2 linked regions of the Drosophila melanogaster genome follow. The protein of the gene in region 2 purifies or fractionates together with the protein of the main gene of each other region. This does not show direct contact. Each region holds a gene or a part of one and is shown on either strand. Other genes may lie near its edges.

Region 1 (3,897 bases), on a different chromosome or scaffold from region 2:
AGAGCTTCCCTGGCCTTTTCATGCACTACGACACCTCTATGCGCGATCCGATCTTCTACGAGGTATACAAGACCATTGTCAGCCACTACTGGCATCTGATGGAGACCTATCCGGAGTACCACAAGAAGGATTACGCCTTCGAGGGTGTCCACATCGATGCCGTCCACATGCCCGAAAGTCTGACCACCTACTTCGAGCACTTCGACTCGGACATCAGCAATGCCGTCAATGTGGAGCCCGCCGTTGAGGGATCCGCCGATCCGTTGTACACCTTCGGCAGGAACTCCCACTACAAGGGATCCAGCTATGTGATCAAGGCCCGCCAGCAGCGTCTCAACCACAAGCCCTTCGAGTTCACCCTGGACGTGACCTCGGACAAGGCTCAGGATGCCGTTGTGAAGGTCTTCATTGGACCCAAGTACGATGAGCACGGACACGAGATCCCACTGGAGCACAACTACCAGAACTTCTTCGAGCTGGAGCACTTCAAGGTGCATCTGGAGGCGGGCGTTAACCACATCAAGCGCGCCAGCGGTGACTTCTCCTTCTGGGTGAACGATCGCACCACCTACCTGGAGCTCTACCAGAAGCTGATGGACGCCACCAACAGTGACTACAAGTTCAAGCTGGATCAGTCGGAGGCCCATTGCGGCGTGCCCAACCGAATGATGCTGCCGCGCGGCAAGAAGGGCGGCCAGGTGTTCCAGTTCTTCTACATGGTCTACCCGTACCACCAGCCCGAGGTTGCCCAGTTCACTGGCTACGATCCGGTGGTCAGCTGCGGCGTGGGACACGGTTCCCGCTACGTGGACGCCCTGCCCTTCGGTTTCCCCTTCAACAGGCCGGTGAAGCATGACTACTACTTCGATGTCCACAACTTCAAGTTCGTCGACGTGAAGATCTTCCATCGCGACGAGCACACCAATGTGGTCTAGATCCTGGACCCAACGAATACGAACCCCAAAACGAACCAACGATATTGGATAGATTACATATGTTTTCCTTGTTATATCTTTGTCTGCATCCACTTACCCCATAGAGATCGTAATTTAACTCAATTTTTACCCAGCTTGTCAGTCCACCTTGTGACCATCGAACAATAAACGTATTCAACACAAGTCACTCTCTTTTCAATTTTTCAAAATATATTTTTGGTTTTCTAGTTATTTTCCTCTACTTACAGAATATATGTAAATAGAAGGAACAATAGAATAAAGGGCTTATTGATACTAGTTTTAAAGCCTACAGTTTTTAGCAGACGAATTTTCAAGTTAAAAATAGGCATTTTTATCTGGAATAAACACAATAGATTGTTAGATTTCTTAAATTACAATTTAATATTAAATGGTAAAATATGGTAACAAAAATATTTGCTTTATGCAAACCACGCTTGACATATTTCAGAATATGGTTTCAAATTGTATCATATTTTAAAAATATTAAAAGTTAAATTCAAAATATTTATAAATAATTAACCCTCACATTTTTTCTTTCACTGTATTAAGGTGCATTCCAGGGATGCGTACAACCACCTGCAGTTTGCCCCGTGAACGATAACTAGTTCGCTCATCTGCACCAATTGCTCGCATCCCTGGTCGCTAAAAAAACACACAAAGACTTGTTTTGTTGTTCTTCCCCAAAAATGAGCTCCTGGAAGGACAGTCTCACGAGCATTCCGGGCACGGTGGCGCAGTTGATTAACGAGAGCGCCAGCAACCTGTTACACGCCTCATCCACGCTGGGATCAACAGTTGGCCTTGGAGGCTCTGGCTCCACTGGATCTGGATCCGAGGCCGGAGGCTCCGAGGAAAGTGGTCCACAAGGTGCGGAGTACAGGGCGTTGCCCATTCCCGCGTCCTTGGTGCGCGAGCAATGGCGCCTAATCTTCACCAGCGATGCCAATATCCAGGATTTGCAGGCGGCCATCGCCCATTGCAGAGATCTCGTCCTGCTGAGCGAGGAACTCAGCGAGGAGCGTCGCTGGTTGGTGCGGCACCTGGTAGATTTGCGATACTCACTGCAGGAGCTGGAGGAGGCCCAGGAGCAGCATTCCCTATCGTCGGACATGGTAGTTATGAATGCCATACGTGCTGTGGTGGGTCATCATTTTGTGCCCCATCACCCGCATCATGGCAAACGGAATCGTCTGCAGGCAGCCGCCAAGAGGAACTACTGTGACCACTGCACCACCATTATTTGGAGTGTGGTGCAGAACTCGTACGTGTGCAGCGATTGCGGATTCCTGGTCCATCAGAAGTGCATCGATGGCGTGAAGAGGGTTTGTGCCCATGTCCTGGTTTCAGAGCGGCAGCATCCCATTTCGGAGATATGTCCAGAAATCGGACTCGCCTCCCAGGGATACAAGTGCGCCGAGTGCGGGACGATGCTAAATATAAGTAAGTTAAGGCTACTCTTTTGGTTCCGAATAATTAGACTCCTTCCTCGTAGAAAATACCTGGATTGAGCCGCGTCTATGCGACTATAGTGGATTGTACTACTGCCCTCGCTGCAACTGGAACGACAGTAACTTTATACCAGCCCGCATTATCCACAATTGGGACTTTTCGCCACGCAGAGTGTCGCGCACGGCGCTCCAAGAGATTAGGTTGTTCCTAAATAAACCGCTCATTCGCTTGGAGGAGGACAATCCCAAGCTGTTTGTGTTCGTAGAAAAATTGTGTGCGGTAAAGAAACTTCGCCAAAATCTGGTGCATATGCGCCACTATCTGGCTGCCTGCAAGATTGCCAGCGAGTTGAAGCTGGTGGATCAGCAACTGGGTGTCCGGCGACATCTGGCCCAGTCAAATGAGTTCTATTCCCTAAGTGATCTCAGCCAGGTGGAATCTGGAGCGCTGAGCGAATTTCTGCAAGGAGTTTTCAAGGCATTCAATGATCACATACGATCCTGCCCCATGTGCCTTGCCCAAGCGTACATTTGCGAGATTTGTAGCAACAACGAGGTGATCTTTCCCTTCGACGATGGCTGCATCAAGTGTGATCAGTGCAATTCCATCTTCCACCGAGTTTGCCTCACGCGCAAAAATATGATTTGCCCCAAATGCATTCGCATCCAAGAGCGGCGTCTTCAATTGGATCGCATGAAGAGCACCGAGGACGATGATGATGATGATGATGGAGTGGCCACCGATGATGACGTGACTGCCGCAGAATAACTGATCAAATCAGAGTTCATTGTGCTGTGTTGGTTTTTAATATGTTATCATATGTACATAAAATGTAACTATAAAATGTATAACTATATATGAACTTTTATTCTTAGATTTATCATAACTCTTTAGTTATCCTTTTTTCCATATTTTTCCCGCTTGTGGAATTTTCTGGGATTTATGCCATATGCCTTTAATCGATCGTCGGTTATTCCACTATTGTTATTTTGCTTGTTTTTCGCCTTAAAGTTGTTCGTTTTCTTAGCTGGGAAGGGTGCACTTGGCTTTTGGTTTGATTTCTTAAAGGGATTGGTGCCGTTAGCGTTTCTCGGTCCCTTTTTGTTTCCACCTTGATTTTTATGAATTGGTGGCAGTTCCTGCCTTTGTTGGGATTTCGATTGTGGCTTATTGAAAGGATTATTACCATTTGATTTTTCTGCTTTTGCAGGCGCACTTTCCGTAGTTTTAAATGGTTGGTTCGACTTTGTCTTTGCACTTTTATTTGCTTGATTTTGGGGTTTTTGGAATCCATTTTGCACGTTTTTAGGCTCTTTTTTGTTATTTTTTAAGGCATTATTGTTTTTCGTTTTCTCCGTGCTTTGTGGACTGTTTTTAGTTTCCTGATTTGCGTCATCTTTGCCCTTTTTAGAGGGAGTATCGACTTTTTTCTTAGAACTTTCTGCCTGGACATCTTCAGTAGATCCATCCGCTTCCTTTGGATCCTTGGAGT
Region 2 (8,080 bases):
CATTCATATCGCCATCAATCATTGGTGGAGAAAATTAAATTGCAACCGATTTATCATAATTAATCTAGATCTCGTCTATCTATTATTAAGATTAAACATTTATTTACATTCGTTACGGATTCGATTCGATTCGGATTCGATTGCTCGTTTTTAGTATCTCTAGGTATGCGATCGTGTGTGAACAAAATGTATATGTCCCATTTGCCACATAGCCAAGATTGACTATATATAGCCTAGCCAGCACATATGCTCTCTCCACCTATTTACTTAATTACGTATAAAAATACTTAGAGACTGAGCCACAAAACACAAACACAAACGTAAACAAAAACTCAATTTACATATTTACAAGACAACGCGACATCGACGTCGTTAACCTCCGCATCCAGCAATTTCTACCGGGCTCCTCCAATGTGGGCGGTTACTGTGACGTGGAGGCGTGGCCTGTAACGAGATGATGACTACGACTCCTGAGCTGATGGTGGCATTAAAAATCACCGACTTACCCGGCCACCAGGAATAACGGGGCTCCCATGGCTCCAGACATCGAACATAAGTTGCCGCTCGTCTTTGGCTCGGCTTAGCGGGTTGAGAGCGGGGTGCGAATCTGGAGGCTGGAGGTGGGGCCCAGCAGGACGACCAGCAGGACCGCCAGGAGCAACAGGGGCAGAGGGGGCAGGAGCAGCCTCGAGCCCAGCTCGTGCTGCATGGCCGCGTGCTGCTCACTTTTAATGATATGCACAAAGACGCTGTCAGAATCTGTTGGGAAAAGGTGGCAAAAGGGTGGGTTAGAAAATTGTAAAATAAATATTTTAGGTCGTTACTTATTAAAGGGCTGAATTTAAATATTAAAGCTGGCATACTCTGTACGAAAAGCAGTGAAAACAATTATTTGAATGTATAATGTATGGCTGCTTTAGCAAGAGTATTATTAGCTATTGTAATAACATTAGTTATTTTTTAAAAACTGTATCTCCTTGAATAAATAACAATAATAAATGTGCACTGCTATTTTCGAATAAAATTTCATAATTGAGTTTATATGCATTCAATATGTAAACTCAATTATAGAATATTATTTTATGCAATAAGCCACCATTAACTTAATGCCTTGTAGCTATGGATAAAGTGAAATCTGTATATTTTACATTGTAACTGATCACAATGTATACTACACCCATAAATAAGTAAGCAATTGAATTAATTTGATTTTCAGTATTTGATGGTTAATTTACGATGTTTATATGTGCAACTACTTTTCGATAGTCATGTGCATGTGTAAATATTTTATACGAGTCAGTTGGTGGCGTGTTTCAAATGTAATTAAGTATTTAATGAAATCGAACTTTCGTTGTAAAACTGTCAGTTCCATCTTGGACTAATTGGATTTAAATTAAATTTTCGACACACACACCTTAATCGCATATGTATTCACCTAGTGTCCTTAATCTAACAGTTCATGCATTTCTAAAGGACTCACTCGAGTTGTCCGCGGAGCAGGTGTAGTTGCCCGAGTCCGTGTGCTGGACTCGCGATATCACCAGGTTGCTGGTCTTCATCTGCTGCTCGGACTCTACGCGGATGCCACCCCGCGCCGAGTCGCTTACCAGCTCCGTGTCCTTGTGCCACAGCATGTGCGTGTAGGGTCCTGGAGCCTGGGGTGCGATGCACGTCAGATTGATGTCGCTGCCACTCTGGATGAACAGCTCGCGGTTGGCCAGGATCTGAGCCTTGGAGGCTGTCAAAGAGCGGCGTCGTTTTCGATTAATGGGTATGTCAACAAGTTGCCTATTGGGTGGATCCATAGCCCTCAACCCCTCAACTTCTCAATCCCTATTCCCATGCCCCATCCTAGTTTGTCGTGTGATGTACTGGGGTGTTTGATAAACTAATTTGTCAAAGTAATCCCAGCCCTTCGCGCCCTTGCGCTGCTGTCTAAACGGAGATGTAAGCAACGTCTTACAAGACCGCCAATCGATTGAGATTCAATGGGAGTAATAAAACAGGAACTTGGGGCTGAATTTCGATTGAATAATTATGATGGGTCATGAAAGGGTTCGGAACAAACTTAAGCGGATTCAAATGGATTTGGAATGTTTAGTGGTATGTACATACCAACAGAGAATTATTTGAAGCCCTTCGATTCGTTATGAACACAAGGATATTATCAGTAAATATAGTTTTGGATATATTCATTTGCTCAAAAGTGACAAGTGTCTTGTTCATAGCTCTTCTTAGTGAAAGATACTTACTCACGACGACCAGCTTGTAGGCCAGACTGATCTTGGGCTCCGTGGACACCTGGCACTCGTAGACGCCCGCATCTCTCTGCTGCACCGAAACGATCTTGAGCACCCACTCGTCGGAGTTGTCGATGTGCCGCGCCAGAAAGCGCTGATCGTTCGTGTAGGTCATGATGCCGATGGTCAGGATGTGGAGATCCCGTTGTCGTATCCAGGACACCGCCCTGTCGCCCAGGTGGCGAACGCGGCAGTGGAGACGGGCGGTGGTGCCCAAAGCTGCAATAACCTCCCGATCTGTTGTGTTGTCAAACACGGGATCGATGGCATCGTAATTATCTGGTATCAAGTTGGACAATTCCTCGGCGGCGGCCAGATGGCCTGTAAAACAGTAAACAGATTATAATTATTTAAAAGGTTGAATAAGTTGAATAAGTTTTAAGAACCCAAGGATATGAATAACCCTCTAAACGTCAAATTTATCCCCGCGGAAACAGAATCTATGCCAATATATATTGTTAGTACATAAAGGGCCTAGATATTCAAGCTGCCCATTAAATATTCCCTGGGTAGTTCATTCCACCAGTTGTATCTGAACGTCAATCTAAACGTATTCAAGTGCATTTCAGGACCTGAGCCCAGGAGGCAGGCAGGCAGATGAACACAGGAAGCGTCGGATAGATAGACAGTTAGACTGGCAGATAGATAGATGAATAGATAGATATGCAGACGGACAGACAGACGGACGGACAAACGGACAGATGGATGGTCGATTGGTTGGCTCAATCAGCTGGCGGGGATGCCTCAGCTGGCAATCAGCATTCATTTGATTAACGAGTATTTGTGCTTAATTTATGCCGGAGCTTAAGCCTACACCCCTTTGGAGCCATTCCCGCGTTTATGATCCATCGCTGGGCGGCCAAGTGATTTATGTGGGTGGTGGTGCTATTGGCGCTATTGTTGCTGCAGCTCCACCGCCCAAATGGCGATGTATTAGCCAACTAATGCGCTAATAATCCATGAGTGCCTAAACAAATACAAACACAAATACAGCTGTGCGTGGGATGTGAAGGAGAAGGGACTGGGTACTACTCGATTGGTTATGTGGATATGTGGATGTGGAGTGGATAAACACATATTGATTTATAGGCCAGGATCCATATTGTGTGCGAGTGTGGTTGAGCAAATTTAGCTATCAAATATCAGGCAATAAAATGACGTTTAACACTTAATTGAAACTGTTGATCCGCAGCCGATGACTATGACGATGCTTTAGCTTTCGCTATGGCTGTTGCTTTTGCTTTTGCTTTTGGCCAGGCCAAGGCACTTGAACTGAAATTGCTTTTTATGCTGGCCACAAAATAAAAAAAAAAAACTCCCTCGCACACACGTTCCCGCACAACGGCAGGAAATATGTAACAACATAAAATTTTTTAATAAAAGTTGCGTATTTACATACAAAGTGCGGGGTGGTAAGTTGGAAAATTGCCGGGTCGAACCGCAACCGCAGCTTCAGTGGCCATGGCTAACGCTTCTGCAGGACCTCAACATCCACATCCACAACCTCCGGCTCTTCCTTCATCACCATATCCCCATCATCCCTAGCTGCAGTTCCCCAAGCGGGCCCTAAACTGAGTTCAGGTGCCATAAATTACAAATGAGCAATTGCAGCTGCTCCTGGGTCCCGCATCAAATTCACTCGCAGCAGAGAGATGCGAAATAGATGGGATCATAAACAATTCCTGACAGCTGCGAGTGCAGATTACCTAATTCGGATCCCCTTTTAGAGATCAGTTATCCATTAGGCAGCTTGCTCCCTTCCGTTGCAAAAAGCGAAGCGGAATTTAACTTTGTGTTGAACCACATTAAACCACATTAAAAGTTTGCAGGATTTAAATGAATAAACCATGTATGCAACTTAAAAAAAAAAAAACATCTGTGTGAAAAAATAACTAACCGGAAAAGTTACTTTCCATAAGTGTAATTTAATAGGCAAATATGTGTTGAGGGATTTGAGAAATATGAAAAAATGGAAATACAAATTCACAAAGTACTAATTGTATGAAATTTAATAAAACATGCTTTTTACGTTTAAGCTTATGTTGCACAAAAAATTATAAATCAAATATAAATCAAATATGGCGAAAAAAAGAGTTAATTTCTTTTATTCAAGTCATAATCGTTGTGCTCGTTTAACTCCTTTAATCTGAACTCCTTTAACTTTAACTCCTTTAATCTATCTAAAAGTAATTTTAATTAAGGTATTAGCAATTTAGTTTTTTAATTTCATTAACCGCTTAAGCAGTTGAGTATTTAAAGTGTGTCCTCTGCCCCAACTGCGAGATCAGTGACCCCTTGTAATCCCCGCCATATCCCTCAATCTAATTAGATTGCTTCGCGCTTCCCGATTCCCCACTTCCGATTCCGATTCCCAATACCATTCGCTCTGCGATTCTCATTTATTATGCCATTTCTGATACGACTGCCCAGTCCCCGGTTGGCTTAACCCTTTGAGTGTTGTCTGATTAGATTTAAATCCGTACTCACCGAAGTATTGGCTGCTGCGCCGGCTCTGCTTGTCGACTGGAGCGGTTAATCCCATGATCACGAGCAGCGCCATAAAGTATTCCACCAACATTTCATGCGCAATTTGTGGGGCTCTCGAATTACTTATAACTGCAGCCAGGACGAAGGACCACCAGCGAAGAGCAGGAGCAAAGTGGGTAGGGCGACAACAGAAAAGTAATTAAAATAAATGATGGCAATCGCGGAGAACTCGACTCTACTCAATTCAACTCGAACCGAACCGAAGCGACTCAAATCGACTCGAAAGGCAACACACAAAAGATGAAGCTAAAGATGAAGGATACTCGCCACCAGCCCCGCCCACTTTTTAGCCCACAATTGTGCAGAAACAATAACTGAAAGGGATTAGGCTCTGGGCTCCGTCTTATCGGTGCTCCGGAAACCGCAGCACATTCATTTAAACTGATGACAAGACCGCAGTGCGGTCGAGTTTTCAATCACCATGACGCCCACAGGACAAGAACGAGATGAAGATGTCCTTGCGAGTGTTTGGCAGGGGGATGGGGGGTGCCTTCCGTTGGGTCGTTAGAAGGATCCTGGAAGTGGAGGGGGGCTGGTGGTTGGATTCGAGCTTTTGGTAATTTCTTCATTACACACTAAGCTGTCCATTCAATTGCTTCTGGCCAACGGATGAGGAAAAGCAGGAGCATTTACCTCGCCCGCAGGCAGCAATTTCGCTCTGGTCACGTTCTGATAATACACTTAATTATATTCGACAGGGACGTGGAGCTAAAAAGAAGGAGGAGGAACTGAGGGACTAGCGCAAATGAGGAGCTACCTTTTCCTATGAGCGGACTAGATTCGGTGGCCGTGGTCGAAGTAAATGTAGCGCGAACTGCGTGCCGCCATCTCATGCGCAACGTAACGCATTCGAGCGCGTTGCGTTTGTGTCCTTTTCCGCGGAGCGAGCAGGTCCTTGGCTTACGTAACAGCCCTTACGCTACGTAAGGAGCACTCATCCACACACTCCGACACACTCCAGCACCATCACCAGCACCACCAATTCGCAAAATCAGTCACTCCAATGACGCGATTCCAATTCCAATTCCGATTCCGATTGAGACGCCAGATACGAGATACGAGATACGAAAGCCAGCCGAGCAGGCCGAACACGAGTCACGGCTAGCGATTTCCCAGAGTCACGGGTAGCAGTTCACGGGTCACGGGACACAGTTCCCCGAGTTTCCGGTTTGTCAGCGCTCGTTGCGTGTGTGTGGCTTGAGGCGCGGTAAACAACTGAACGGAGCTGCTCCAGCGAATCCTCCAACAATATGCAAATCTCCAGGAGAAGCAGTGTCCTTGCGCCGGCGCAACAGCAACATGTTGCGGCAACATTTATTGAAGCCAAATTGAATGGTAAGCCATCGTATCATATTAGGAGGCGTGGGTGGGTTGTCGGAGGGTTAAGACCTGCTCCTGCATGTCCTTAAAGTTCATTGGAGGTGCGTGGCTGAATGTGCTTATGAAATATTTAGTAGGGTACGTTTGATTTGTGTCACGCAAACGGCAGACAGCAGCAGATCGGCCGGCGACAAGAAAGGAGCAACAATGGAGCAGCGAGCACCAGCACCAGCAATAATGATACACAAAAACACAAAACAACATCAATAATAGAAGGCGGAAAACTCATGCATGACAAGGCGCCTTTTTAAGCCAGCTTTTTGCAATTGAAAGTGGCAGTGGCAGCAACAGACAACCACACACACACTCGCACAGCACTCGAGTGCCACGCATTGTGCGCCCATTGTGTCAAAGCGGAAACGGATATGAAGCGGCCATGGTGCTGTTGCTGCTGCTACTGCTGCTCCCTACTCATGCCGCGCCCCATGTTGCTCATGTTGCTGTGCTGCCGTTGGGCGACTTATCAAAATCGATGAGGCAACATATGGTCGATTTTAATTTTCTAACATATCTCTCTGCACGCACACAGACAGGCGACACACACGAGCCATTGACACGAGACAAGCCACTGGAATACACACACACACACATGCAGACTGGCATCCTCACCTCGGAAAGTCCTTCTGCCTTTTCCACACCCTCGTCGACTGCAGTACCCCCCTGAAATCCGTTTAGCATATTTTCTTTGGAAATTGAATTTCCAAGTTATTATAAATATTTCTCCAATAAATGCAATTTGAGTGGAATTCTTTCTTCGTCGCGTCGTGTGCTTCGACTTCCTCACCTACTCCTGTTTTAGCATATCCTGGCGAATCAAATAGACAACAGGACGAGCGGGCGCCTCAGTTGGGATAGACCACCCACGTCGCTCATATTATTTTACACTAACAAGCCAAACATTCCTTAAATTTAACAAGCGGCGACATTTTGCCAGCCCCTCATCCATCTCTTTTAGCCCTAAGTGAATTCTGTTTTCATCGCTGGCTGTCGGTGAATAGGGGTGCAGAATTATGAAAAATGTTTACTATATATAGGGGGGAAAGTCACCAGAAATTGTTGCAAGAATGTAAGGCGCTTAAAGTGCGGTTGTGGGCCACGATAACTTTTGATACGCTGCCAGTTGCCCAGAAAAGTATGCTTTAATATGTTAAGTTCAATATTTCAAAGCAGTCCGATGAAAGGATCACTTTCGCTGAAACTTCTCGAGTGGAACGACAAGTGCCATTCCGTGTAGTCTTCTTTTGATAAACAGTGATAACTCAGCTGCTTTGACATTCTCTTTTTTTTTTTTTTTGAGACTATAAAGTTTCGAATGGGTTTTTAAACATTGCTAAAAGAAGTTGGTGTTGAACAAACTTTACAACCAGTTCTAAGAGGACAGGAACTTTAAATGAAATGCAACAGAACGCTACTTTCGTGCTTGAATTGCACTCTAGGGGCGTGCGCTATAGGGAATCCCTACTGTATTTGTTATGACTGTGGGGTTTCGTCGCTTTGCGTCTTCGATTTGGACATTGATTGCATACAGAATTGATGGAAACGCTGCCATTCGCTGCTCCTACCTGGCTGCTCCTTCTGCATCCCCTCCCCTGCCTTATCCCAACCACTTTGGAAGCCCTTCCGCTGGGAAGTGCTGTGCTGGGGAAACGGTGATGGGGATGTGGATGTGTGGTGCGGGATGGTGGATGGGGGGCGACTGTCGTGTGTAAAATTGATAACTTTGTTTGTGTAAACAGCGACGCGACATATCGCCCTCCATGGGAGTTTCCTCTCCATTCCGCATCCTGTGCCCCTCCACCTTTACCATTCCCACTCCCTTCCCTCCACCATGCCAGACCGACAAATTTTCCAAC

The links. Proteins that work in one complex are often made in the same cells at the same time.
Region 1: the proteins of dpr5 (region 2) and DEF8 purify together in Drosophila melanogaster (affinity purification with mass spectrometry, with the first as the bait; one large-scale study listed by BioGRID). This does not show direct contact.

What each region holds. Positions count from the first base shown.
Region 1 is NT_037436.4:12,130,581-12,134,477, forward strand, and holds DEF8 (differentially expressed in FDCP 8 homolog), read left to right. Parts: upstream 1-1,565; 5' UTR 1,566-1,642; coding exon 1,643-2,396; exon of another isoform or gene 2,397-2,448; coding exon 2,449-3,173; 3' UTR 3,174-3,254; downstream 3,255-3,897. Other genes in the region: Lsp2 (larval serum protein 2), read left to right, coding at 1-935; CG5645 (uncharacterized protein), read right to left, coding at 3,296-3,897.
Region 2 is NT_033777.3:11,497,953-11,506,032, reverse strand, and holds dpr5 (defective proboscis extension response 5), read right to left. Parts: upstream 6,050-8,080; 5' UTR 5,681-6,049; coding exon 5,605-5,680; intron 4,964-5,604; exon of another isoform or gene 4,917-4,963; coding exon 4,788-4,916; intron 2,622-4,787; coding exon 2,253-2,621; intron 1,739-2,252; coding exon 1,481-1,738; intron 760-1,480; coding exon 581-759; 3' UTR 507-580; intron 445-506; 3' UTR 82-444; downstream 1-81.